Linked DNA regions of Caenorhabditis elegans. The protein of the gene in region 4 interacts with the protein of the main gene of each other region in a pairwise test. Each region holds a gene or a part of one and is shown on either strand. Other genes may lie near its edges.

What was found.
Region 1: the proteins of ncl-1 (region 4) and mrg-1 interact in a two-hybrid assay, tested with the Caenorhabditis elegans proteins (one study listed by BioGRID).
Region 2: the proteins of ncl-1 (region 4) and mut-16 interact in a two-hybrid assay, tested with the Caenorhabditis elegans proteins (one study listed by BioGRID).
Region 3: the proteins of ncl-1 (region 4) and hcp-1 interact in a two-hybrid assay, tested with the Caenorhabditis elegans proteins (one study listed by BioGRID).

What each region holds. Positions count from the first base shown.
Region 1 is NC_003281.10:12,870,768-12,876,559, reverse strand, and holds mrg-1 (Mortality factor related protein 1), read left to right. Parts: upstream 1-1,905; coding exon 1,906-2,400; intron 2,401-2,459; coding exon 2,460-2,608; intron 2,609-3,528; coding exon 3,529-3,748; intron 3,749-4,892; coding exon 4,893-5,042; 3' UTR 5,043-5,286; downstream 5,287-5,792. Other genes in the region: cec-7 (Chromo domain-containing protein), read left to right, coding at 52-336, 388-693; spcs-2 (Signal peptidase complex subunit 2), read right to left, coding at 933-1,394, 1,449-1,529. UniProt on the Caenorhabditis elegans protein: Protein involved in the remodeling of chromatin thereby regulating various processes including transcription, chromosome synapsis and genome integrity.
Region 2 is NC_003279.8:10,078,556-10,086,188, reverse strand, and holds mut-16 (MUTator), read right to left. Parts: upstream 6,031-7,633; 5' UTR 6,028-6,030; coding exon 5,788-6,027; intron 5,744-5,787; coding exon 5,621-5,743; intron 5,580-5,620; coding exon 5,400-5,579; intron 5,354-5,399; coding exon 5,229-5,353; intron 4,777-5,228; coding exon 4,385-4,776; intron 4,335-4,384; coding exon 4,212-4,334; intron 4,167-4,211; coding exon 4,054-4,166; intron 3,974-4,053; coding exon 3,544-3,973; intron 3,345-3,543; coding exon 3,036-3,344; intron 2,986-3,035; coding exon 2,925-2,985; intron 2,875-2,924; coding exon 2,802-2,874; intron 2,267-2,801; coding exon 2,148-2,266; intron 1,840-2,147; coding exon 1,116-1,839; intron 823-1,115; coding exon 670-822; 3' UTR 481-669; downstream 1-480.
Region 3 is NC_003283.11:6,592,316-6,599,738, reverse strand, and holds hcp-1 (HoloCentric chromosome binding Protein), read right to left. Parts: upstream 5,546-7,423; 5' UTR 5,514-5,545; coding exon 5,463-5,513; intron 5,406-5,462; coding exon 4,804-5,405; intron 4,760-4,803; coding exon 4,258-4,759; intron 4,209-4,257; coding exon 3,906-4,208; intron 3,855-3,905; coding exon 1,941-3,854; intron 1,894-1,940; coding exon 1,630-1,893; intron 1,578-1,629; coding exon 1,015-1,577; intron 966-1,014; coding exon 737-965; 3' UTR 531-736; downstream 1-530. Other genes in the region: ZK1055.6 (Protein F37C4.5), read left to right, coding at 32-484; ZK1055.2 (Nucleotide-diphospho-sugar transferase domain-containing protein), read right to left, coding at 6,105-6,318, 6,365-6,483, 6,531-6,698, 6,743-6,807, 6,856-7,078, 7,123-7,205.
Region 4 is NC_003281.10:7,717,889-7,722,816, reverse strand, and holds the start of ncl-1 (RING-type E3 ubiquitin transferase), read right to left. Parts: upstream 3,027-4,928; coding exon 3,001-3,026; intron 1-3,000. UniProt on the Caenorhabditis elegans protein: Translational repressor that inhibits protein synthesis.

The DNA.
Region 1 (5,792 bases), 5.2 Mb from region 4:
ACTGCTCATAAAATCTTGGAATTTTAAATAACTGAATTCATGTTTTTTCAGTCCGCCAGCAGCCGAGCCGAGGATGGTGAGAGCAGCTCAACAAATGATGCAGCTGGCACAAGATTCGTAATCGGCGAGCTAGTCGCATGCACCTACAAGGGAAAAGTATATGACGCGGTCATCACCGACATCAAGCCCGACAAGGATGGAAAGGAGTGCTACTGCATTCACTTCAAAGGATGGAACAATCGTTACGATGAGCAAATTCCAATCGGCGAGGAGACAGACCGTATTTTTAAAGGGATAGCAGATGGTTACCGAGCTCCAGTTGTCACAATGCGCAAGGTACTGCTCAGAGAATATTGAAGCTTTAAATAATAAATTTTGCATTTTCAGTCCGCTAGAAACCATGAAAAATCCACAGAGCCTCAAGCGACGAAAGAGAACGCTCCGCGGCTAGTCGGAAAACGTAGAGAACAATTCATAATCGGTGAGCAAGTCACGTGCACACAGAACGGAAAGCCATATGACGCGTACATCGTTGACATCATAACCGACACTGATGGGAAGGATTTTTACTGCGTTCACTTCAAAGGATGGAACAGCCGTTACGATGAGAAAATTCCAGTCGGCGAGGAGCAGGGTCGATTGTTCAAGGGCTCGGCCGCGAAGTACGCAGAGATGCTCGAGATGAAGAAGTAGATGGGATCTGCTAATAAATTGTTAAATTGCTAAAATTTTGTGTTTGTTAATTGTTCTTTTCAAGCTATTTGTACAATGAATTCTTACCGAAATTGACAAGTTCATATTGTATAAAATGCTGGAAATATTAGCTTTTGACAGACAAGAAACAGGATAGATGGAGAGAGAAAGGGGCACCCATGAAAAGCGAAGAAAAGGGGAAATAAATTAGGCCAAGAAAACCAGATAAATTAAATAAATTATTGTTCGCTACGAATCAAGCGGTTGTACAAGTCGTCGACCTCCTTCTTCACAAGTGGCACGATGATCTCTCCATCGTTATCGATATAAGCTCCGATAGATTTCGTGATTTTTCCCTGTCCAGAGCGTCCTTCCTTCTTAAACTCGGCCGACAGCGTGTACTTATCGTCGTGAGCCTTGATCTCCGAGCTCCACGCCCATTTTCTCGATTGTTTTCCGTCGACTTCGGTGGCCTCGTAGATGCAGTCCTTCTCGACGTACCACTGATACATTTGAAGAATTCCCATGCATATGAAGTAGGAAACCGAGCACACGGCGAGCACGATTTTCGACTTTGGGAACGGCTCGTAGTAGTCGTAGCCGCAGGCGAACGCGGAGAACGCGACGCCGATGAATGAGATGAGAAGACGCAGATTCATTAGATTATGCGATTCCGTCCATCCGACTTTGTCGTTCAGAATCTGAAACGAAAGATTTTAATTTTAATTTTAATTTTGGAGTTTCGGAGAGCAAACCTTTTTGACGACTTCATCAAGGGCATTCTTCACTGTTGGACCGTCCCATTTGTTCACAACTTTCACCGGCTCGTCCGTCATCTGAAAATTAATATATTTGAGAATAAAAATTGAATAGAAATCCAAAAAAACCCAAAAGAAATGAGCAAAAAGCTAGTGGTGACGTCTCAAAATTGGAAGTCTGCATTATTGCGTCGTGGTGTTTGCGTACTTTTTCGTGCGCGGCGCTATTGCATTTGCTTAGAAAACCGCGCCGCAGGGGGGTTTGAATTGCGAAAATGCCGTTGAGCTTTGAGAAAAGCTTTTTTTTTGTTTTTATCGATAAATTTATCGAATTTTCGATATTTTTAATCTATTTTTTGATTAAAAATCGTTCAAATATACATCATTGGCTAGAATTGCTGCTAAAACTCGCTTAAAACACCAATTAATCGATTAATTTCTTTAATTCCTTCAGATGTCTTCAAAGAAGAACTTCGAAGTCGGCGAGAACGTCGCGTGCATCTACAAAGGCAAACCATACGATGCCAAAATTACTGATATCAAAACCAACAGCGATGGCAAGGAACTCTACTGCGTTCACTTCAAGGGCTGGAACAATCGATACGATGAGAAAATCCCAGTCGGCGAGGAGAAAGACCGCATTTTCAAGGGAACAGCCTCGGAGTATGCAGAGAAACACAACGCAGAGCTGCCAACAACTGCATTGAAGCCGAAGAAGAAAAGTCTTGCGGCTGAAGCACCACGAGACGATCGTGATGACACTCCGGGGACGTCGAAGGGAAAAAAGGCGAAATCGGTGACAATTGCGCCGGTTATGACCGCCGACGATATGAAGGTCGAGCTTCCGAAGCCACTGAGAAAGATCCTGATCGATGACTACGATCTTGTCTGCCGTTATTTCATAAACATCGTGCCACACGAGTATTCAGTTGATCAAATCATCGAGGACGTAAGCATAAAAAAAATTAAAATATCATTTTTTCCGATTTTCAAATCCAACATTTTCAGTACATCAAAACCATTCCGGTCAGTAATGAGCAAATGAGAACGGTCGATGATCTGCTCATCGAATACGAGGAAGCTGATATAAAAATCACGAATTTGGCTCTGATTTGCACCGCGCGTGGACTCGTCGACTATTTTAATGTCACTTTGGGGTTGGTTAATTCGAATATGTTAAACAGATGCATGCAAATTGCACGTAGCCCAATGTTTAGTACCACTGCAACTTTTTTCGAACGAGGGACGAGGAAAAGCGGTTTCTAGCCCATGGCCGAGGGGCCGACAAGTTTCAGCGGCCATTTATCTTGCTTTGTTTTCCGCGTGTTTTCTTTAATTTTTCATAGACTTTTCCCGTTTTTTTCTTATTAAAACTAAATAAAAGATAAATAAATATTTTTGCAGATGCCAAAACAATTTCCAAGTGAAAAAATTATGTATTCAGTCGGCAAGTAGCGGTGAAAGTGCTCAATGTTATATGATGGATTACGGGAATACTAAATCTAAACCTTTTCTGAAACATGGTATATATTCTGCTTAGAGACTGAAACTACCCGATTTTCATCATAACGAGACCGCTGAAAAAGATTTGAGATTTTCAAAATTCAACTTTTTGTGCAAAAATCTCAGAACTTTTTGAGCGGTCTCGTTATGAAAATCGAATAGTTTCAGTCTCTAAGCAGAATAAATGCCATGTTTCAGAAAAACGATTAGGTTTAGTATTACCGTAATCCATCATATAACATTGACCACTTTCACCGCTTCTTGCCGACTGAATACACAATTTTTTCACCTGGAAATTGTTTTGGCATCTACAAAAATATTTATTTATCTTTTATTTAGTTTTAATAAGAAAAAACGGAAAATTTTTTTGAAAAACAAAAGAAAACACGCGGAAAACAAAGCAAGATAAATTGCCGCTAAGTCTTGTCGGCCCCTCGGCCATGGCCTAGAAACCGCTTTTCCTCGTCCCTCGTTCGATAAAAGTAGCAGTGAGTACACATAATGCCCTCCGCTTCGTAGAATAGTCGCCCCAATCCCACTTGAAACAGTTACGATGTAAGGATGAATTGTTTAGTTCCAGCTACCAACTGCTCTATAAGTTCGAGCGGCCACAGTACAATGACCTTGTCAAAAAGCGAGCTATGGAGAAGGGAATCGACATCACAAACCCGACCGCCCTGCAGGATAGTGGATTCCGTCCATCTCAAGAGTACGGAATTGTGCATTTCTTGAGAATGCTCGCAAAGCTCCCGGACTACCTGAAGCTCACTCAATGGAATGATCATGTTATTAACGTATGTTCGAAGTTCAACTCCTGGAGCGTCTCCTGAATCTGGTTTCCACACGGAATCTGTTTTTTTTTGGCGAAAAGGTGTAAAATTTGGAAAAATTAGGCCGAAAATTGGATCGAAACCGTCAATTTTCTCGATTTCAGGATCATAAAAAATCCCATTTTGTAGGGAATAAGCAGATTCACAAAACATTGATTTTTAAAATTGAAAAATGGGGAAATTGCCTTGTTTAATTTTAAAAATCAATTTTTTTTTGTGAATCTGCGTTTTCTCCACAAAATTGAATATTTTACGATCCTGAAATCGAAAAACTGACGGTTTCGATCCAGTTTGAGGCCAAATTTCCAAAATTTACATTTTTTCAATGCGTATCATTTTTCTCAACATTAATATAAATAAAAAATAGCAAAAAAAAACGATTTTCCGTGAATTCAGGAGCCCGAAATTGCTTTAAAACACGCCTATGGGACCACAATGACAGAATATCATGATAAAAAATTCAAAAAAATTTTATAAATTTTATATGATTTTTTGAAAATTGGAAAAATCTCAGTTTTCACCTAATTATTTTTGAATTACCGTCAATTGGATTTGTTCGATGGAGCGAGCTTGCATTATTTTCATTAATTAATTTTATTTTTTCTCGTTATTTGACTGGTTTTCTTCATTTTCTATGTTTTTTCCTCGGAAAATGAAAGAAATAAATAGGACAAATGCGAAATGTTTGTTAAAAAGTAATTGAAAATGCGTAAAACTGTGATATTCTGAGTTCCGACAAGCCTGAGATTAGTATATTTCACAGTTTTACTCATTTTCAATTACTTTTTAACAAACATTTCGCATTTGTCCTTTTTAAAAGCATAGAAAATGAAGAAAACCAGCCAAATAACGAGAAAAAATAAAATTAATTAATGAAAATAATGCAAGCGCGCTCCATCGAACAAATCCAATTGACGGTAATTCAAAAATAATTAGGTGAAAACTGAGATTTTTTCAATTTTCGAAAAATCATATAAAATCTAGAAATTTTTTTTTGAATTTTTTTAATCATGATATTCGGTCATTGTGGTACCATAGGCGTGTTTTAAAGCAATTTCCCCACTGAGCGTAGTCCCATGCTCCAAAAATAAAATAAATCAATTTTCAGCGCATCATGATTGGAGTTCACGATTTGATTGTGTTCCTGAATAAGAATCACGGGAAGTACTACAGAGGATCGTCTGATTATCAAGGTGCCTCCAACGACTACTATCGCCGATCTCTCGCCGCCGACGACGGAGTTGGAGCGAATCAATAGACTGATCTCCTTCATCATGTGTTCCATCCCAGACGATCTTCAATACACCGATATAACTTCAATAATTTTATACATTGTTCATTATTTTCCAAAGCTAGCCCCACCATTATGTTTTTGTGAAATCGTGGAGATCCATATTTTGTTCACGTTAATCTCACGTTTTCTGACGACTTCCACATTTCGCATTCCATTATCGTTCAATTTTCCGTTTAGTTGTTTCCCAACTATTCTAATGAATATGATTCTCATTTTCTTTTCAATAGCCCCCCACATTCATATTTTTCCAGATTCTTCTTCTCTTCCAACTCCCCGCCATTTTTAGCCTATCGAGATTTGATATAATGTCTGCGTGCCCCCAAAACTATTCCATCTCGCATTCCACGTGCCAGACTGGAAAGAAGAGGAAGACTGAAGATTTTTTTGAATATTAGAATATACTTTTTTCTTCCGATTTTGAAGTTTCATGATTAAGATGGTTAAATATTGAGAATGCTTATTGAACAACATAACTGACCCGCAAAATATCTCGTAGCGAAAATTCTTGTCGATTTACGGGCTCGATTTTCGAATTGAATTTATTTTTAAATAGTGACAGCGATATTTAATTTTCTTCTATCACTATTCAAACAATTCAAAAATCCGGGTCCGTAAATCGACACTACAGTAGTCATATTACTGTAGTTTTTGCTACAAGATATTTTGCGCGTCGGATATGTTGTTCAATACGCATTCTCAAAAATTACAAGAAGT
Region 2 (7,633 bases), on a different chromosome or scaffold from region 4:
TTCCAAAAAAGAAAAATTTTAGTTTCAAAACCGTCGTAGTGTGTATCCTTTTTTGGACAACATTTTTCTCCAAAATAGTTTCACCAAAATTTGCAAAATTTGTCATTTTGTGTTTTCTTGTATTTTTCCCCTACGTAGTTGCACTTTGTCATTCGTTTTAGTATAATTATGCTGTAAATACGAGCTATTTTCTCTTTTTGAATCTAATATTTCTGAAATTCCAAAGAAAAGGAAAACAGTAATTAGATTCAAAAAGTTGCCAATTCTGAAGCAATCACCCCCAAATACTGAAAACGTGCATCCCTCATCCTCCATCCAGTGCCTTCGTTCCAATTTTCAACCCGAGTTTTCCCTTCATCCCTTTCCCAGAGACACGTATCCCTGTTTTGAATTGTCACCGTCACCACCAATATTCGTGCAGTATTATTATTATCAGTTGACTCCCGGTTCTTCTACTTTTTATAAATATTAAAACACAAATTTGGACTCGTAAAAATATTAATTAGGAAAGTTTGGCGATTCAAGTATGAAAAAACAGGTAATAATCAGTAGGCAGTCAATAAGAACGAAAATTAAAAAAAAAAAACATGGGTTTAGAAAAAATGAAAAAATTGAGACGAGTGGGTGAATACAAATAAAAATGGAACAGTAATAGGAACAAGTAAATTCTTAGTTTCGGATATCATCTTTCAAAACGACATACGGCTCAATGTCACCTCTTTCCACTATAGCAACCGATGAAGAATCTCTAATATATTGGACAATATCAATGTACCGAGGAATAGCAGGACGTCTGCTCACTTCTGTTCTCAGTTCTTGTACCTGAAAATAATTCACTTTTAACGAAAACCTTTTCATTAAAAAAACTTAACATAAAATTGGTACAGTTACTCTAATCAAGAAGTCTTTTTGAAAGAAAAAACATGGCATTTTTCGAAGTAAAAAGCTTGTTTTAATTATACGAAAATATAGTGTAGAGATGATTTGAAAATACTCTTTATTTTTAAAGATTTTTTTCGTATGTGTCAATCAAATTTTCTCGTAATACTTTTTATATAATTACTAATATCACATCGTAGAACAAATTGAAACTTTCAACGAAAATTACTACTTACTGTCAATACTGTCAAGTTCATGCTTCGATAACGGAGAATTATATCTCTCAATTCCTTCTCAATTCCATCTTGAAATATTAATTCCCTGTTCGATGGCTGACGATTCGAAGAGAGAACACTAAAAGATCTTTGAGCTTCCGGTTGATGGTTTGATTGTCCTCCGTTTTTATTAAAGTACGGCGCAGAATTTCCGTTAAAATTGTCATATCCTTGTGGTTGTGACTGATGAGGCATATGACTTCCGTGATGGTCAAATTGATGTGGATTTTGACTGTATCCGACTGTCATTCGATCTCTTTCATAATCAGCAAGTTTGAAGTTTCCGTGTGGATCGTATTCTGGAGGATTTGGTGGAAACTGATCAGGTGATCTTCTTCTTTGTGATGAATGATCTTCATGATAAACTGATCTACTGCCATAATGATTGAATTGTGGATTACATCCATAATTTGGATCGGAAGAAGTCGGACCCTGATTCGGATTGTACGAATTTTGATATCCATTTTGATTGATATGAGGTTGATTGCTCATATGTGATGGTTGTTGGCCAACGTGATTATAAGCAGGTTGTGGCACTTGAGAATAATTAAATGGAGAAGGACCATGTTGAGGGTTGTTCTGAATTGAATTGTATGGTGGATACTGTGGTGCCGGTTGTTGATAGATTGGTTGCTGCTGATTAACTGGCGGATACTGTTGGCCGTGCATCGGTTGGTGGATTGGCCTGAAAAATGTTAGTTTTGTGAATTTTTCTGTTTTTTTTTCTCAATTTTAGCAAAAAAGGATATGTCTTTTGCTTGCATGAAAACCCCAAGACTACAATTATTACGCGAATTGTTTTACATTACTTTTAAAGATGGTCAAATAATATCAAATTTCTTGAAAATATTGTCAAATTTATGAATTTATTAACCGAAAAAGAGTTTTTTTATTTCGGAAATTTTTGCGAAATCTTATCAAAAAATTCGATTTGGGTCCATTTGAGCGTTCTTTATTTAACTTTTGGAATGAATTTTTAAGTATAATCCTTACTGTTGATGATGTATTGGTTGAGGCGCATATTGATGTGGTTGAGGTTGTTGTACAGGAAGCTGTGGCTGATATGTTGGCTGTTGAGGGATATATGGTGCACCCGGATGAGAGTTTTGATACTGAAAAGATAATGATTATGACTTCAAACTTGTAGGATTTGAGAAAAAAACGAACATGGTTAAAGAAATATGGTTCAAATACCCAACGCATCACTTCGAAAAGTTTCTGACTGTGTTGGACAATAAATTAATGGAAAAGATCTTCAGTCTTTTAAAAGAATGTCCCAATTCTTGTTCACGTGAACAATACTGTTTTCTTTCAGTTTTTCTGTTAATTTTTTCTGTCTTCCAGAGAACTCAATAAATTATAATTTCACATTTCTCTCAACTTTATCCGAACTGTGAAGCAAAACTATTTCGAAAACAGCAAAAATAGATCGAAAATGTAATCATGTGAACAATTTTTCGCAAATTTTCAAATATTTGTTGTAGATACACAGTCAAAGTTCTCAAGACTACGGTCATTAAAATTGGATCACTATGAAATTTCAGTGGTACAGAAATGCACGGAGGCATTAGATTTTTCTAACAATTTTTTCTAACGTAAGTGTGGATAGAATGTTTAGACTTAAAATATTATTAAAAATGAAATTACCACAGCTGTTTGCATTGGTTGATTGGCTGGTTGACTTTGGTTGACTGGTGGTGGTGCTGGATGTGATGGCAGTCTGCAATAATTTTTTTGGTAATTGAAAGATTAAATTTTAAAGCTAGGAACCTTCTGTTGATGAAACCATTGGCTGAAGGTCGTTCTTTCAAAAGCGGATTCCGTACAGGCTCTGAAACTGATTTTAGGCTATTAAGACGAGTCCTAAACTGCTTAAAATACCTTTTGGCGCAACTTTAATCGGTTTGTGCGTATCCGCTGGTGTGAAAGGAAGTTGAACATTGCGTCTATCCTCGTCGTGATTCGATTTAGAGTAGAAATTTCCGACTTCTCTGAGTGGAGCTGGATTCTCAGGTGGAACGACGACTTCAGGACGTGTCGAAACAGGGATTGACGGTGCTGCGGTCGTAGAAGACGATTCTACTACTGGAGTCGGGAGAGCTACATTCACAGTGTCAACTGGAGGTGTATTGGAAGTGTCAGTAGCAGATGATTCTGATTTTTTCTTGTACGTATTGAATCGAGTCTCAACTGAAATAGATTTTCATAAATTTAATAGTTCAAATTGGTGATTTTGGAAAATTTTTGTAAGGCGGAATATCGTTGGTGTTTGAAAGTTCAAAAATTTAAAATAGTCTCAAGTTCAGAAATACCACAATAGAAAAATGAAAAAAAACGAAGCATCATCCCCATTCACTAAACTCCGCTTTGGAAATGATAAAATTCGTACTTTTCGAAGGAGGTTGCTGCTTAGACTTCGTGTGCTTCTCACGACTTCTTAGTTCTCTTTCCTGTTTCTTTTTAAGTTTATCCTTTCTTCTTTGACGCTTAATCTCCTTTTGCTCGGGATCTTCATCAGAGTAGGATCCTTCAGAAGTGATTTCACTATCTGATGTCGTATCACCGACATCTTGAACACGCTCACCACGATCTCCATATGAAGGACCACGGTTACCATTGGTGATTGTGCTTCTGCTAAGAGCTGGTGCTCCACCAAATGGATTCGGAATCGCGGATCGTTGAGGGGCTCCGGACGAAGTGCCTTGGCCCATTAGTGGATCTGTTTCCATCACACGATTGACTGGAGAAGTGGGTGCACGTGGAGGACGAGATGTTGACCGATCAGTATTTCGATTAAAGTGCGATGAAGTTGTTGGTTGCTGAAAATCACATAAATTTCATTTCTATATTGCACACAAAGAATTTTGTGAATAATGAATGTTTTTTTTATCGCACTCACCAACGATCCATCATCATCTGCATTGTTAGAAATGCCCCCAGCAAAAGTCGATGGTTGATAATTCGGATCTGGTACAATTACATTTCTGCGTTGTTGTGGACCACGACGATCATCTAGAAAAGAAAGATTTTTAGATAATCACAAAAAATGCAATGTACCTGATCTCTGTCCACCGGCCCTATAATTGCCTTGGCTTCCGTAGTTCTGATTTCTCTGATTGCCGGTTTTCCATTTGTTCCTAACATCCGCAATATGTTCATCAGTGAAAAGAACAACTGGTCCTGAATGAACAAACGTTGAAAATAAATCGAAAATATTTTTAGTTACTCACGGTTTCCTTCATCGTCAGCTCTAAAATAGAGTTCTACAGTTTTGCCGTTGGCTTGTGAAACCACAATTTCAGAAAATCTTGCAGTTGTTAGAAACTTCTTCAGTGTTCCTCGATTTGTATACTCTTTGAACCAATCATTATTCCACAGTTTTTCTGGATCGAGTTGAAGAATATCCTTATATTTTCGAAAAATATTCGCATGTGCCGCACCAGTAACCATATTTGTATAAGCAGTTGAAAGAATTTGATATTTAACTGAACGAATGCTATATTCATTTCTGACAGCCATTAACAATTCCGCAATCATGTTGAATGTGAGTAGAGTACGAATTTCCTTCTCTTCGGATTCAAATGTATCTGCTTCCTTTTTCTTCCTTTCCTGGCGTTTGTGCCTGCAAATTTTATACGCCATTTCGAGGAAACACCACCGATCGAAGAGACTGTGTTTTTTTTGTGGTGATTTGGCAAGGAGAGCTCAGAAATATTTAACTTATATATTTTTTTTTTTTGTACTGAAATATTTTCTTAATTTCTCTCGTGAATCGGCACAATAGTCATTCGATTAAAAAAAATGGAATTTGAGCAATTTCGCTATTGATTTTGAAAAAATATGTTCAAAACAAGAATAAAATAATTCAAATTCGATTATTCCATGAACATAGGGAATTATATCGATTTACGAGAGCAATTATGACGGGGTTTCAGTGCAAAAAACAAATTAATTGCTGTTTTTAACAATAATTCACATAAAAATTTCCACAAAAAAAGCCTGTAATAGCGTCTCTCTGATCGCCGGTGCCTTATTTCGAGTCGTTCAGAGCTTTTCGTGACAAAAAAAACGCACTGTTCTTCGGATCCATTCATCAACGAAACAACAGTCTCACGTTCTGAATCGGAAATGACTGGAAAGAATGCGCCCTCTTTGGACTGCAGCCAACCTCCTCGTACAAGTGCATGGGCGTGTTCGGTCTGAAAACAATTAAGTTATAGTCTCCCTATGCACATTGTAATTTACCTTGGAATCGTTTGGAAGCTGAGAAATAATTTCTGGAGGAAGCAATAAAACAGCTGTTACTTGAAGACTGTATCCCATACAAGATTTCAAACAATCATCCAATTCATCCGAGGAGTATCCAGAACGGAATTTCAATGGATTGCTCAGCAATGAAGAGCTCAGGAACAGCTGAAGATCACGCTAAACCATTAGGTCACGAGATCATATAAGTATTTAAATACCTTCATGATTTCTGGATTACTTGCATCGCTGAAATCATAATCGGCGTTATCATTTCTTCCGATGACGTTTTGTATAAGATTGTCCGGTATCGTTTCTGGTGGAGGTTCATCCATATTGTCATTCTGAATCAGAAAATAAAATTGAAATATACGAACACGAATCTTACCGCATAGTAGGCATCCACGTCAAAGTCATCGTCTCCTGAATCCAAATAACTATCGTAGTCATGTTCACCCGATGAATTTCCATAGCTATTAGTGTCATCTTCAGTTCGATTTTGCATGGGAGTTTCTTCACGATCAGTTTCCGTATACGAGGCGGGTGGTGGACCAACAACGATCCCCAATGGATCGATATATTGATCGGAGATGTCTAATTCCGGATAATCATCATCACTTTCGGACATTTTCTGCAAATATCGAGTATTTGAGTGGGTTGAAACGTTTGAACGGCAATAAATGAGAAGTAAACGATAATTTGCTAGAGGCATTAAAGAAAACTTTCTATTCCAGGAAGTATTACGATTCTGGGACAAACAAGCGAAATTTGTAATAAGGTCTCTCAATAATATATATAATAGCTAAAACTTCAAGTCGTGCACTGTTGCGTTAATTCATTTCATTTTGAGCCGATAAGTCTGCAATAAACAATAATCATAGATTATAAAGATTTTTAACAGTTAATATTTTGTTTTGTTTTTGAATTCGGAAGCTTGTTCTTCAATTTCCAGTGCTTGAGATTTAAATGAAATTCGATCTGGAAGGCAATTTTGAAACAAACTGATTGGAAAACTGTTTAAATGGTTTTTTCAATTGAAATAATGATAAAAAATGTTAAGGAGCAATAAAACGCGTTCTAAATATTCGATCGGCAAGCAGATGATTGACGGTTATTCATTGAAACGTCGATAGAGCGCGATTGCATTGCGTTCAGGAAAAGTTGAATTTCTATCGAAAACAAGTATTAGAATTGAAGAAAACGTTTTGAAACTAAAAAATCATCTAAATCGGCATGTTTTTTAAACTAATGAACAGTCGCTTCATTAAAACATAACAGAAATTTGTTTGTATACGATAAACTGGCTTTTAAAATTGAAAAATATATATATAAAATCAAATTCACCGGCACATTTTCTCAAACCGATCGACAAAAAAGTACTTTAATTTTCCGAAAGAACTATTATGAAAGTGTATCGGTAAATAGTTTATTTTTAGGCCACAAAAGGATCAATTAACATGTTAATTAACACCTTCTGTTTCGAATTTTATCGCTTTTTAGTAATTTTTTGAATAGCTAAACAATAATTACTTTGAAAACGAAAAGAAATAACGAATATGGTGAAGTAAATCGCAGTTTTAAAAGTTGAAAAGGAGAAAATACATTTTTCAAATACAACTCAAACAAAGCGGCGCTTCTACTACGGTCACACTCATTTCACGTGTATGATTTCAAATTAAATCGTATGTAGTTTTAAAATTTGGTTAAGATTTCAGATTTAAATATTTGAAAGCTTTAATAAAAAATTATTGAAGACCATATATAATTTTTGAAGGCTATAAACCTTAATTTTTAACGAAAATATTAGAAAAAAGTTTCAAAGCATTAAAATTAATTTCGCGTCGGGACCAGACGCGCACTCACCACAATGTTCCTTAATCAAAATTAGTTTCTGTATCGGCGGGAAAATTGAAAATTCATTTTGAGCATCGCATAATCTCACTCACCATATACATTCAACGACTAATCGAGTGAATAAATCGATCGGAAAGGACATTTACAAGTTTATCTGAGCGAATTATGACCGAAAATCCTATGGAAAGTGCATTAAAAAAACTTTTTCCAGTGAAATATAAACAAAAATTAGCTGAAAAATACATATAAGAAACTAGTTGAAAAAAGGTTGGTACCATTGATCCTTGGCCCCAAGATACACCCCATTTTGTCTACTGGATCCTTTGTCACTTTGGACACTTTGTCTCCAAAGAACCTACGTCACCCAAAAGTTTGCAATC
Region 3 (7,423 bases), on a different chromosome or scaffold from region 4:
TTCGGAGAATTTATTGCAATTCATGTTTCAGAGTCACATGAAAGATGTGTCACCAGGTGAACGATTCACCTGTTCTCTAGGCGTGGACACGGCCATTCGTATCGAATATAAGCCAGCCAAAAAGTTCCATGAAGAAGGCGGTTACATCACAAAACATTCAACTCATGCCACCGAGCAGACGATTAGTGTAAAGAATACAAGAAGTGGACCGCCTGTACTGTTAACAATCAAGCATCATGTACCACGTAGCACAGATGAGAAGATACGTGTGAAACTGACATCTCCAGTTGGCATTACCTCTGATCAAACTGATCAAATTAATTCAGAAAACGCTGAACCAAATGTTGGAATTATTCTGAACAAAGATAACAACTTGGAGTGGACTATCAAATTAGACGCTATCAGTTCGAAGGATCTATTGATTAAATGGATTGTTGAACATGCGAAAGGAGAGAACATCGAACTTCGCGAAAATTTGCAATGATAATAATCCTGTGAAATTTCTGAGCTGTAATATATCACTTTTTCACTATAAATGACGTCACCTTTATTCAGGATCTTCTTTGATTGTATTTTAATGAGACTAAAAATCGTTGATAAATTTAAAAACCCGTTTATTCTGACCCTAAAAGCAAATAATATTTGACAAGTAAATATGGGTTCAGAACGGGTATTCATGGCACATATGTTAGTGGGGGACGGTGAGAGATCTAGTGGGGTGAGAGAATCTTATAGCCTATTGGTGTTGGCAGTTTGATCGATTCTTCTTCGATGGAGTTTCGCGAGCCGACTTCTCCAAAACGTGATCCTCCGGATGATGATTTGAAGCATCTATCTGCCGGGCAGTAGTATTCGACATGGTTTGAAGACGATCTTGGAAGGAGTTCTGCGCATCTTCGAAGGCATCCTCATGAGCAGAGTTTTGCGGTTCGACAAGTGAGCTTTCGCGGCTCAGTTGTTTCACACTGAAAATAAAACGCTCAACTTGTCAATTTTAATACATGTTCAACTCACCCAAGTCTTGCTTGCTCGATCAGTCCCATTACTCGTGGCGGCGTCTTTACACCCTTCAGCTGCTTGATCTCGGACTGAAGTGTCATGATCTTGTCCTTATACTCCCGCTCGTCATCATCAAATGCATCACAAACTTTCTCCAATCGCTGGATTTCGATTTCAGCCCTCACCAACTTTTCCTCAAGTTCCAGAATACGAGAATGTGCTTGTTCCAGTGCTTCCGACTGTTCTTTATTTTCAACTTGAATCAAAGTGATGTCGTGTTGAGCTTGTTCTTCGACTTCAATGACACGACGGTCAGATGCTTCCATCTTCTCATGCATTTCTCCAAGCTGTCGTTGCATTTGCGAAAGCGATTGAGTGAGAGTGCCGAGTTGCATTGCCTGCGACTTCCAGACATTTGCTTCTTCCAGGCGAGCCTCAAACTGCTGTGAGATTGTTTCGATCCGCGACTCCAGAGTAACAATCGTGTTCTCTTTCTGAGAGAGTGCTTCCTCTGCAGCCTCGAGTTTTTCGTTTGCATTGCTCAAAGACGAGTTCCACTCCAATCGGATCGATGCTTTCTGTAAAATTTATCAATAAATTTGGAATTAAAAAAATGTCCGTTAAACTAACCTCCACTTCGAAAGCTTGCACGAGGTTTAGCATCTGCTCCTGAACTTTTTCGAGTTCTTCGACTTTCTCCTGCTTTGCGTTTTCGGTGTCAGCTAGGGCCTTTTGTGCAAACTCAATTGATGCTTGAAGCTCTTTAATGCGTGAATTCAACTCCTCTGACTTGGCTTGAGATTCTTCGATTGTACTCTGTGATGTCCGAAGAGTATCAATTACGGATTGGAGGCGTTCTTGTTCTTCCTTGTGCTTTGCAGCTTGATCCGCGTTCTGAAAAAATACAATTTTATAAATATAAAAGAGAAATTTCGTCAAACCTCAACATCTCGGCTTTCAATCTTGGCCACTAGTTCCGCAAGATGTTCTTCTTGATCCATCATTGCCTTTGTAGACTTTTCTACTTCTCCACGAAGCTTATCAATAGTCTCAGCGGAAGTCCTCGTCAGTTCAATGAGCTCGGCGTTTGCAGATTCCAACTGAGAAGACATTTCGGATAACTGATCCATATTCAAGTTAGTATCAATTTCCATCTGCTCATTTTGACTTTTCAGCTCACAGATTTGCGATTCAAGTAGTGACACTTTGTCGGTGAAGTCTTGGATGGTTTTGCTTTTTTGAACGTTTTCAGCTGTACTACTCTCGATAGCAGTTTCTAACTCCTGAATTTTACCTTCCAACGAAGTTACGAGATCAGAAGATCTGCCTTTTTCTTGAACAGCAGCGTCAAGTTCAGCACGAAGAGCTTCATACGATTCACCTTGTTCTGATTTAAGAGCTTCCATAACGACTTGAACAGCATTGGTGTCCTGGCGAGCAGTTTCAAGCTCGCTTTGAAGATCAGAGACTTGCACGTTTAACTCTTGAACCCTGGCATCTGAAGTTCTCAAGTCTTCCTGAAGACGATCAGTGAGATCCGAAAACTGCTGAGCCAAGTCGAGTTGAGATTGAAGCTCCAAAACCTTACCGTTGGAATCCTTCAAATTGGCACGAAGATTGTTTAATTCCTCCAAAGGTTCCTTCAAATTCTCCAACAAAGATTCCAACTCTTTGACTTTATCTTCAGAAGCGACAGCATCAGCCCGAGTTGATTGCATTTCTTCTTGGAAGGCGGTCAATGAAGCTGTCATTTCAGAAATCTGTGCTTCAGACGAATCCAACTTCAACTGCATTTCCTTATTCGCTTCAGTGATGACAGAAAACTCCCGACTAGAAACTTCAATTTGCTGTTCGAGTTCAGACACTTGAATATTCAATTCTTGGACCCTGGCATCTGAAGTTCTCAAGTCCTCCTGAAGACGATCAGCGAGATCCGAAGATTGCTGAGCCAATTCGAGTTGAGATTGAAGATCCAAAATCTTATCGTTGGAATCCTTCAAATTGGCACGAAGATTGTTTAATTCCTCCAAAGGTTCCTTCAAATTCTCCAACAAAGATTCCACCTGTTTGACTTTATCTTCAGAAGCGACAGCATCAGCTTGAGTTGATTGCATTTCTTCTTGGAAGGCGGCCAAAGAAGCTATCATTTCAGACATCTGAGCTTCAGACGAATCCCATTTCAACTTCATTTCCTTACTTGCTTCAGTGATGACAGAAAACTCCCGACTAGAATCTTCAATTTGCTGTTCGAGTTCTTCATTCTTTGCTTTCGACATGGCAAGATCGGCTTGAAGTTCTTCAAAATTCCTCAGAGAAAGTTTCAACTCTTCGTTTTGCAAATTGGATGACTGAACCTCACGTTCAAGCTTTGAAAGCACCTCAATAGAAGACTGAAGTTCGTCAATCTTTACTCTTGACAGTTCAATATCCAATAAATACATTCGATGAGCCTCTTCCATCTTCAACTCCAGATTTTCCACCTTAGTGACGGCAACATCAGTTTCTTGTTGTGAAGATAAGAGTTGAGCAGCCACCATCTCCAATGAAGACGTTAGTTCCGCAATTTTTTCGTTTGAAGATGTCAGATGTACATTCAACGAATTGTTTTCATCAGACTGTCTCTTCACTTCTTCCAACTGCATCTTCATCTCAGAAGTCAATTCCTGGATTGTAGCTTGCGATGCCTCCAACTGTGCATTGGGCTCACTCGTGGATCCTGACTCAAGTTTTGCAGCTTCTAACTGGTTCTCCAAATCAGAAATCTCTTTAATCATGAGCGATCTGAACTCTTCGAGTTGTTGCTCGAGCTCCACAACACGAGAATTATTGGTGGCTTCAAATCGCAGCTTTTCGACCTGAAAAATAAAAATATATATATTGATTTGTGATTATTCAATTAAGCCAACCTCTGCTTCAAGGCCGTTCACTTTTTCCTCGGCATTCTTGATGTTTTCGGAAGCTTTTTCTTGTACCACCATTAACTCTGCTTGAAGTTTTTCTTTGTTCTCAGACGACAGTTGCACCTCCAATTCAAGTTGTTTGATCTTGTCGTGAAATTCTTGGATCTCCAAGTTTGCTTGTTGGGATTTGAGGGCGAGTACTTCTGCCTCCAGTTTCTCCATATCCTCAATCATCATCTTGCGAACAAGTTCGTGCTCATACTTCAGCGATTCACTTGTTGTTTGTGATTCGGTGCGAATCCTTTCCATCTTAAAAATAATTAATTAAATTTACTTCGGCAATAAATTCTATAAAAACCTCTTCACTGAATCTCGCTTCTTTCTCTACTAGATCGCGCTGAAGACTTTCGTTCATTTGTTTGGTATTCTCAAGCTGTTTGATTGCTTCTTGATGGCCTCCAATTAACTCCCGAATCCGATCTTCCGAAGCAGTCGCTCCTTGTTGCATCGAATCTACTTTCAAAGCCTTCTGGGTCAACTCCTCGATTTGAGCGTTCAGAGCAGCAAGATTGTGTACCAACTGATTCTTCTCTTCGTCAGGCTCTTCCAGCTTCAAGCGTAACTCCTGAACTTGTTTCTCGAGAACTTGTTCTCGTGCCTTAGCGGCTTCGCGGTCAGATTTTGCCTTTTTCATTGCAGAATCTACTTGCTGAGTCAGCATCTTTTCCTCAAAAATTCGAGCTTCTTGAATCTCACTGAGCTGTTGACTGTGACTTTGACGGAGAAGCTCGATCTGCGACTGAAGAAGTTTGATTGACTCCTCATGCTCGGAATTCTGCTCCAACATTTCAAACTCGTGTCTGAAATTATTTTGTTTTAAGCTATAAATACGACAATTTCTTACAGTGAGAAGTCAATGTGACCTTTGACAGGAAGCACTGGGGACTGGGGGACATCTCGGACTGGCTTTGTAGGCTGATCTACTCCTTTGGCGATTTCCGTGAGAAGCTGTGGATTAGATACTGTTGGAGTACATTCTCGGCTCAGAATCTGGCTCATTGGAGTACGAGAAGCAGTAGGCGTAGTCTCTCCGTCAAGTGCCAATTGATTATCGAAATCATTGGACAGTGTGGCATCGGCGTCCGTCTCGTCGCTTTCTTGAACCATGCTCAGGTTGCTCGTGCAATTTGAGGTGTCGTAGAGCTCAGATTGTTCTAAATTCACATCAACATTGCTGCCCGGAGTGATGGAAGCATCGTTGGTTCCCACGAAGGATGCATCATCAGTAGCCAAAGCTGTTACTGTAGACAAATCCAGTAGACTTGTGTTGTCGGCAGGGGTGATAGAAGAAGCAGAAGACGGGCGGGAATCATGCTCGAGGCAGGTCTCCTCCAGGTTGCTATCGGCCATATTGCCCGACGAAGTTCCAAAAATGCGTTTCGGTTCTCTTCCTAGTCGTGATTTAGGCGTAGCGGCGGAAAATGGCGACTCGGTTTGCTGGCGCTTCTGAAATAATTTATATTGTCATTGATTTAATTAAAATTTTGAGAAAATTCAACTTACATTTCCAGCTGAGCGCTTGTTCTCGTTGTCGAATATCGGCGATTCGTCCATTGTGAAAGAAACGTCGATTTATCTATAAATTAGCAATAATGATTATGGAAATTACACAAGGGATATTAAAAATCAAAAAGGGCGCGTGATTTGAAAAAAGGAGGAAAAAAGTACTAAACAGGAAATTAAGGGGAAAATAAGTTTTTAGAAATATATCTATTAAATACTGCGTGTGAAACTTTTTGACGTTATGTGGCAACAAATAAAGTAACAAAACAGTATTTTCCAAATGTCAGATAACTGAAAATGAACGTTCATGAATAATGAATGAATGAACGAAATGAAAAGTGCCGGATTCCCGCGCGTGGTGATTCAAAATTGAAACCTTCCCGCCATGTGCGGTGGAGCACGGTTGCTCTTACCGACCATAAGGTCAAAATATAATAGGTCTACAAGTGAAAATCGGTATATTTTATTTATTTTGCAGTTTGTGGCCTTGTAAAAATGGGGTTGATTGGAACAAAAAAATTAAAAACCATCGTTTGCGTTTTATGTAGTTTTCACAAATTTTTATTCCAAAAATATATCTTGTCTTACAATTCAAGTAAATATACATACACAAAATCTGAATTTAAAGTTTAAAATTGCTGGTTACTGAAACAATAAACCCATCATCCGGATATAAGACAAAACTTGCTGAAATGCAACATTTTCTTCGAACATTCTCAGGCTTTTCAGAATTTCGTTTTTATCTCCACGAAGTCGTGAATCGTATGACCATGTCGAATTTTGAGGACTACATTTTTGAAGATCTATAGGCCCACTCAAAGGATTATACCAAAAATCTCGTCCCATTTGGCTAGGCCTGTAATACTTGAATAATTTTTAAAAAATTCAGGTAATTTGCCAACTCAAGCTTCACATTCGGCGTTTCTCTCAATTGATTCGTTTTCCAACCATGGAACATGAAATCTAACTCTGGATGCCACATCATTGATGTCAGCCAGCCGTCTTTAGCCCATCCTGTTCCCTGTACAGTTAATATTGTAGATGTTGTGGTATTAATTTTAAACCTACTTTTTTCATAATTCTAACTTTTCCAAAATCAGTGGATACGCCAAATATTGCTCGGATACATGACTCGTAGGTGAAGAGATCATCAAAATTTTTAGAATTGTTATAAGCTTTTTTGCATACTTTCGTATTTGCAGAAGCCTGTGGGAACAACTTTTCGGCAAGGAAAATCTAAACAATAAAATAAAAATTGAAATAGGAAGTTACCAAGTTACATGAAGTGCTCCATTATCCGTTCCATGAAAACTATTTGGTAACTTGTACTCATAATCAGCAAACTCTGCAATTTTATTAAATTCATCACAAAAATTTCGAATAAAAAACTAACCGTTTAATAAATCAATAGCATATTGAGTATTTCTTGCAATATAAGATCCAGCCATGATCTCCCAATTATAGAATCTATCATAGAATGTAACATCAATTCCATCATCCAAAAACTCTTCAATTTTTCGCTTTGGATTCACAACACCAATATCAGCGTCTAAGAATAGGATCGCATCAAATAATGGGAGAATCTTTGCGGAAACACAGTGGCGGCGGAAAAATTTCTGAAATGTTAGCTTTTTTTAAATTAAAAAAAATTAGAACTTACATCTTTATGAGCACATTTGAAATCAGTATCAACTGCGAGAACAAATTCATAATTATGGATTTTGCAGTAGCAACGAACCGTTTCTGAAAAATAACAATAGAACGTCATAATAAAACATTCCAAAATGTTTTTTAAAGTTTTTAAAATTTCCAGTCAAAGTTTTGGAAAATTGGCAAATTTTCGAAAAATATGGGCTTTAAAGAAATCCAGGGCAATGTGGCATGTTCCAAGAATGTTTTAACATAAATAATTAAAAAAAAATTAAAATATTAAAAATCCTTTTAAAAAAACCAGTTTTTTT
Region 4 (4,928 bases):
TCCATCCTCCAAACTTCCTCTTTTTATCGTCGAAAAGTCAGTTTTTCCCCTCTTTTTTTTGGTACAGCTGCCATCGTTAACTTTCATATCGAAAAGGAAAAGGGGACAGAATTCATCGATATATATATTTCTGGCGCCCATCCCATGAATTTTTTCGGTTCATGTCCGATTTCTCTAGTCTAATCCAGCGCTATTTCTCTAGAGAGGCGAAAACGAAAACGTGCCGATTCTCAACATTTCCGTTCGTTTTTTTGTCCGCTGTGTTGCCTGCCATCGTTACGAAAAGAAGATGAGAAAATTGATTGGTTTTAAGGAGAAGAAACTCGAATTTTAAAAAACGAACAGATAGACCGGTTCTCTGATTTTCAGTTCGTTGCCTTGGTTTCAGAAAACATAAAATAAATGTTGGGGGAACTTGTTTAAAGTTTTGCGCAATATTGTGCATATGCAAATATTCGAAATACAATAATACTCATAGTTTTACGATTATAAAAATGCCTTAGTGTCTTGATTTTGAAAAGCTATAGTTATGCAAAAAAAAAGTATCGTATTTTACATTCTCTAATTGTAACACAACTTTTCCGCTTTGAAATTTAAAAATTCAAATTTTTGATAAATTTGACTATTTCAAGGCGAAACGTGAAAACAAGGGTGAGAGGCACCCCCGAAAAGCCTCTAGCGCATTCAGTAAAAGTTTATATTGCTATTTTTGAAATGGAAGGTTTTTTACTTTAGGCATTTGTATCTTCTCAGATATACCAAAAATTGAGAACTGCAAAATATAGGTTACAGTGTGGAAAATACTCTACAGATGAAACTAAATTGTGCAAATTTTAAAAAAATCATGTAAATTGATGATGTATAACCAGGGATGATTACATCCGTGAATCAAAATTTATAAAAATTACACAGTGCAAAACCAAACACTTTCATCTACATCTAACTTACATCTAGATGCACTCGCAGAACCACGAACAGAGAGCCGATCAAAAATCAGACCAATCGGGGCAAAAGGGAAGAGGGAGAATTGGGCGAAAAAAATGCTGGAGAAAGGGGAAAAGAATTGTCGTTTTCGTTTGCCACATACACTAACTATGCCGTTCTCTCATTCAGTTCGTCACATCGAGAGGAACGGGCGGTTTGCATCGGAATGGCAAACAAACAAGAGAGAGAGAGAGAGTTGTTTTATGCAATATGATGAATGGTCGAAACCCACCTTCTAGGCAGAAAGTGCGAAAAAAATGGGACAAAAAATGACGGATTCTCTAGAGTCTCTGGGTTTCAAAAGCTATTTTCAAATTTAGTTTGGACTTTTGGAGTGGTGAAGCGAACTGGATTGAACTGAGGAGGAAAATGGAGAAGCTGTGATTTTCAATTATTTTAAAAGAGGCTTTAAATTGTAATTAGAAACAAGGCGTTCCACGGAGGCGCGAGAGCTTTCATATATCGCTTAAACGGGTTTTTTAAAGTTCAAATTGTTAAAAGACATTTTGCATCAAAAATAAATTTATGAAAATATTACAGGCTACCTATGTTTTATGATTTTAAATATAGAAACATCACATCAGAAGTAAGCTTTCTAGAACGCTTCACAAAAGTTTTTTGAAAAAAAAAACATTGCGACCAAACTAGATTCTCCCAACCACAAGATCTTCACCCCTATTCCAATCAAAAAAATGGATCGGTGCTCTCCTCCGTCCAGAGTCACATGAAAACGACACAAAAGACGCGTGGCGATTGGAGGAGAGAAAGAGAGGCGCAAAAAATGACCCAATGGGCTTCTGTTGAGCCATGCGAAAAGAGAAACTAGAGAAAACTGAAGAGAAGTCATGTGGCTGCATCACCGCCGTTTTTTGACCTTTTTTTGAGCAGATTTTCTCGTGAAACTAGAGAGGATTAACTAAAAATATATATATTAATGGATACAATACACATTTCTTCTAATGATCTCTATACTCGGCAAAACGTCGCAACTTCATAGCAAACTCCTGCAACTTAATAAAAACATTCATATAACTTTGTAAAAAGCTGTCAAGAAGTTGCGAAAACCAACGGGATTGTGAGCGAAATTTAGCTTTACATCTGCTAAGAAATTGCAAAAGTCATCTGAAAAGCTGCAGAAGTTTGCTTAAAAGCTAAAATGCCTAATTGTTCTTAAGAAGTTGCAAGAGTATGCTATGAAGTTAGGCCGTTTTGCCGAGTAGGAACCCTACGTACAAATTATCAGAAACATTGTTTGAGAAGCTACCAAAATTTACATTTTCGCCGAAGAAAAGGAACTAAACTGAAAAATGAAAAAAAAAGTAAGCATTCTTGCTATCATAATATTTTGTTGGAATCAGCAAAAAACGCGTTGATAAAAACGATTTTATCAACACTTAATGTGGATTTTTGACAGAGCAGGCGGTACGGAAAATGAAAAACCTACAGTACTCCTTGAACGTTTTGAGGCAGCAGAAAAAATCACTGCCTACACTACAACAATTTCGGCTAATTTTATGAAAGTGGTCAGGGAAATTGGGTGAATCGTATTTTGACTAGGAGACTGGGAAACTATATTTAATAAGTTCCTATTATCCTTGAAATTGTTTGAATATTCAAAATTATTATTGCCACAGAGCGTTATTTGAGAAGCTTTTTATTTTTGATTTTAAACTGAAACTTGCAAAAGTTTAACACATTGATTTTTATAGATTCGATATCTATCCAATTCAGTAAAATTCACTTTTAACAGAACATGTGACGGACGTCCCACAGTTTATTCTCCTTGTGAAGGATCTCATTTAATTCGTGTCGATTTTTAGATTATTTTTAATTCTGAAACTGTGTATAACAGTTCCTTGAGCTTCGTTCTTTTGAAGCTAGTAAATCATTAAGAAGGTTCAACAATGAGAGACTTAGGAAAAGTAGGAAACATTACACTTTAGAATAAAACGCAGACTAGAAAATAGTCAGAACCTTTTGTTTAAAATTGTTTAATTTTTGAATAAAACAACTGACCTGCAAATTTCTAGATACGGAATCATTGTCTTCTGGATGAGGCTTTCTGTGGAATCTCCTCTGAAGAGCAGGTGTAGAGCAGGCTTCTGAAATTAAATCAAGATTTCCCTCAACTTTTAGTATGAAACAGTTATTTGAAATCGACGGTTTGAAAGTGTTCCGGAAGAGATCTAAAAATCATTTACAGAATTCAAACTTTTTGTGGGTGAAAGAGGGAAGCGTATAGGAAATATGTGTGTCACATCACAAAAGTCAAGTGACAGTGGGAAAAGAAGAAGAGTTAAGAGATGGTCAGAGACGCAGAGGGAAATTGAGGAAAAATTGAAAACTGTGTGCAAACAGTGCAGAACTTTGATGATTTCCTACTGGTTTTACTTCGTATTTTTGGGTAGATTTGTTTCAGAGTTTCGGTTTTTGGACGAAATTTAAATTGTCTTGTTCTAGAAAAGTTTTACACGAATGTGGGACAAACTACGAAGGGTCCATCTTGATACCAATTTTCAAAAATTCGCGTGAAGTATGATGTACAAGTTCGGTAAATACCACGAATCAAGAAAATTATGCAAACATCATTGACTACCATTTGGCAATCCATCAGGGTGAGGCGACATGGCGCCTTTTTCCTCGCCTTCCTATCGCCCGCCTCGCTGTTCGGTGTTACAATTATATTGAACCGTTGCTGTATATTTTTTTTTGATTATATTTTTTTTCTACCTTCTTAAAGGCGTGGAGGCGGGAAGGGGAGAGCAACCGTGCAAGCGCGGTTTTATGCTCAGTGAATTGCCCAGTAGTGCAAAGCGGAGAAGCTCGAACTTTAAATTCTGCAAATCATTCAAATAAATGCTAAAATTAATCTTGACAAATTTGCGCGGAAAATGTTTTCCCTAACACATTAAATTTCCCACACACAATTGTGACAATTTTAGAAGCCGTTTGAAGTTTAACGAATTATAATAATTTCCAACAATTTTAATTTTTAAAAATTTTTTAGAGTCAACTCTATCTTTCTATATAACTTTTTGGCCTACACATTCTGCTGCCAAGGAAACAATTTTAGGCCTAAAAATTCATTTGGCGGGAAATATGAATGTTGTTAAATCTAGATCAAGATTAGATACAACTTATACAAATCGATCAAAATTCAAAAAATAAAAAGTAAAACAAAAAACTCTCGAAAAAAGTTATTATCATTTCAAAAAGATAGAGGGGCAAAAGACACTATTTCCACATCAGTTTTCCACCCGTCACACACTTTTTGGAACAAACAACATACGAAACAGTGTGTCAAAATGAGAGAATGTGATAGATAGAGATGGGCGGTATGTATGCGTGTGCGGGAGAAGAGTGGGAATGAGGAATTGGGGTGGAAAACGGGCGGTCACTTTTAAGAGATCATTGATCTAATAGAGGAGTTAGAGAATCAAGAAAAACTTATTTTTTTAAAACAAACCAATTGTGAAAGTTTATAAAAATGTAATCGTATCAAATTTTAATTTGGCAATCCACAATTCATATAAATTTTCACTTCTTGAAAATTCATGTGCAAAAGATTACTGTAGAAAATTTATGTGAAGGTTAGAGGGCGTTTTGAAAAAAAAGAAGAAATTCGGCAATTATCGTATTATCGATATTTATATAATAATTTATTGACTATCAAACATTATTAATTTTTTAAAGTAATAATTTCAAAAAGAGAGATGGGTGAACTTTCAATTCTCCCACGAAAATCACTTTTCCTAATTGTGAACTCGATAATCTCAGAATTACAGAATTGCCGAACTATACAATCGAATAAGTTCTACAGTAATGTACAAAATGGCTCGGTGATCATGCCAAGATCACAGTGTGTTATAAAACATAAAGTTACAACAACTGAGTTACAGTAACCCGTTTGTCACCAAAATATTGCACACCATAAGAAAAAATTG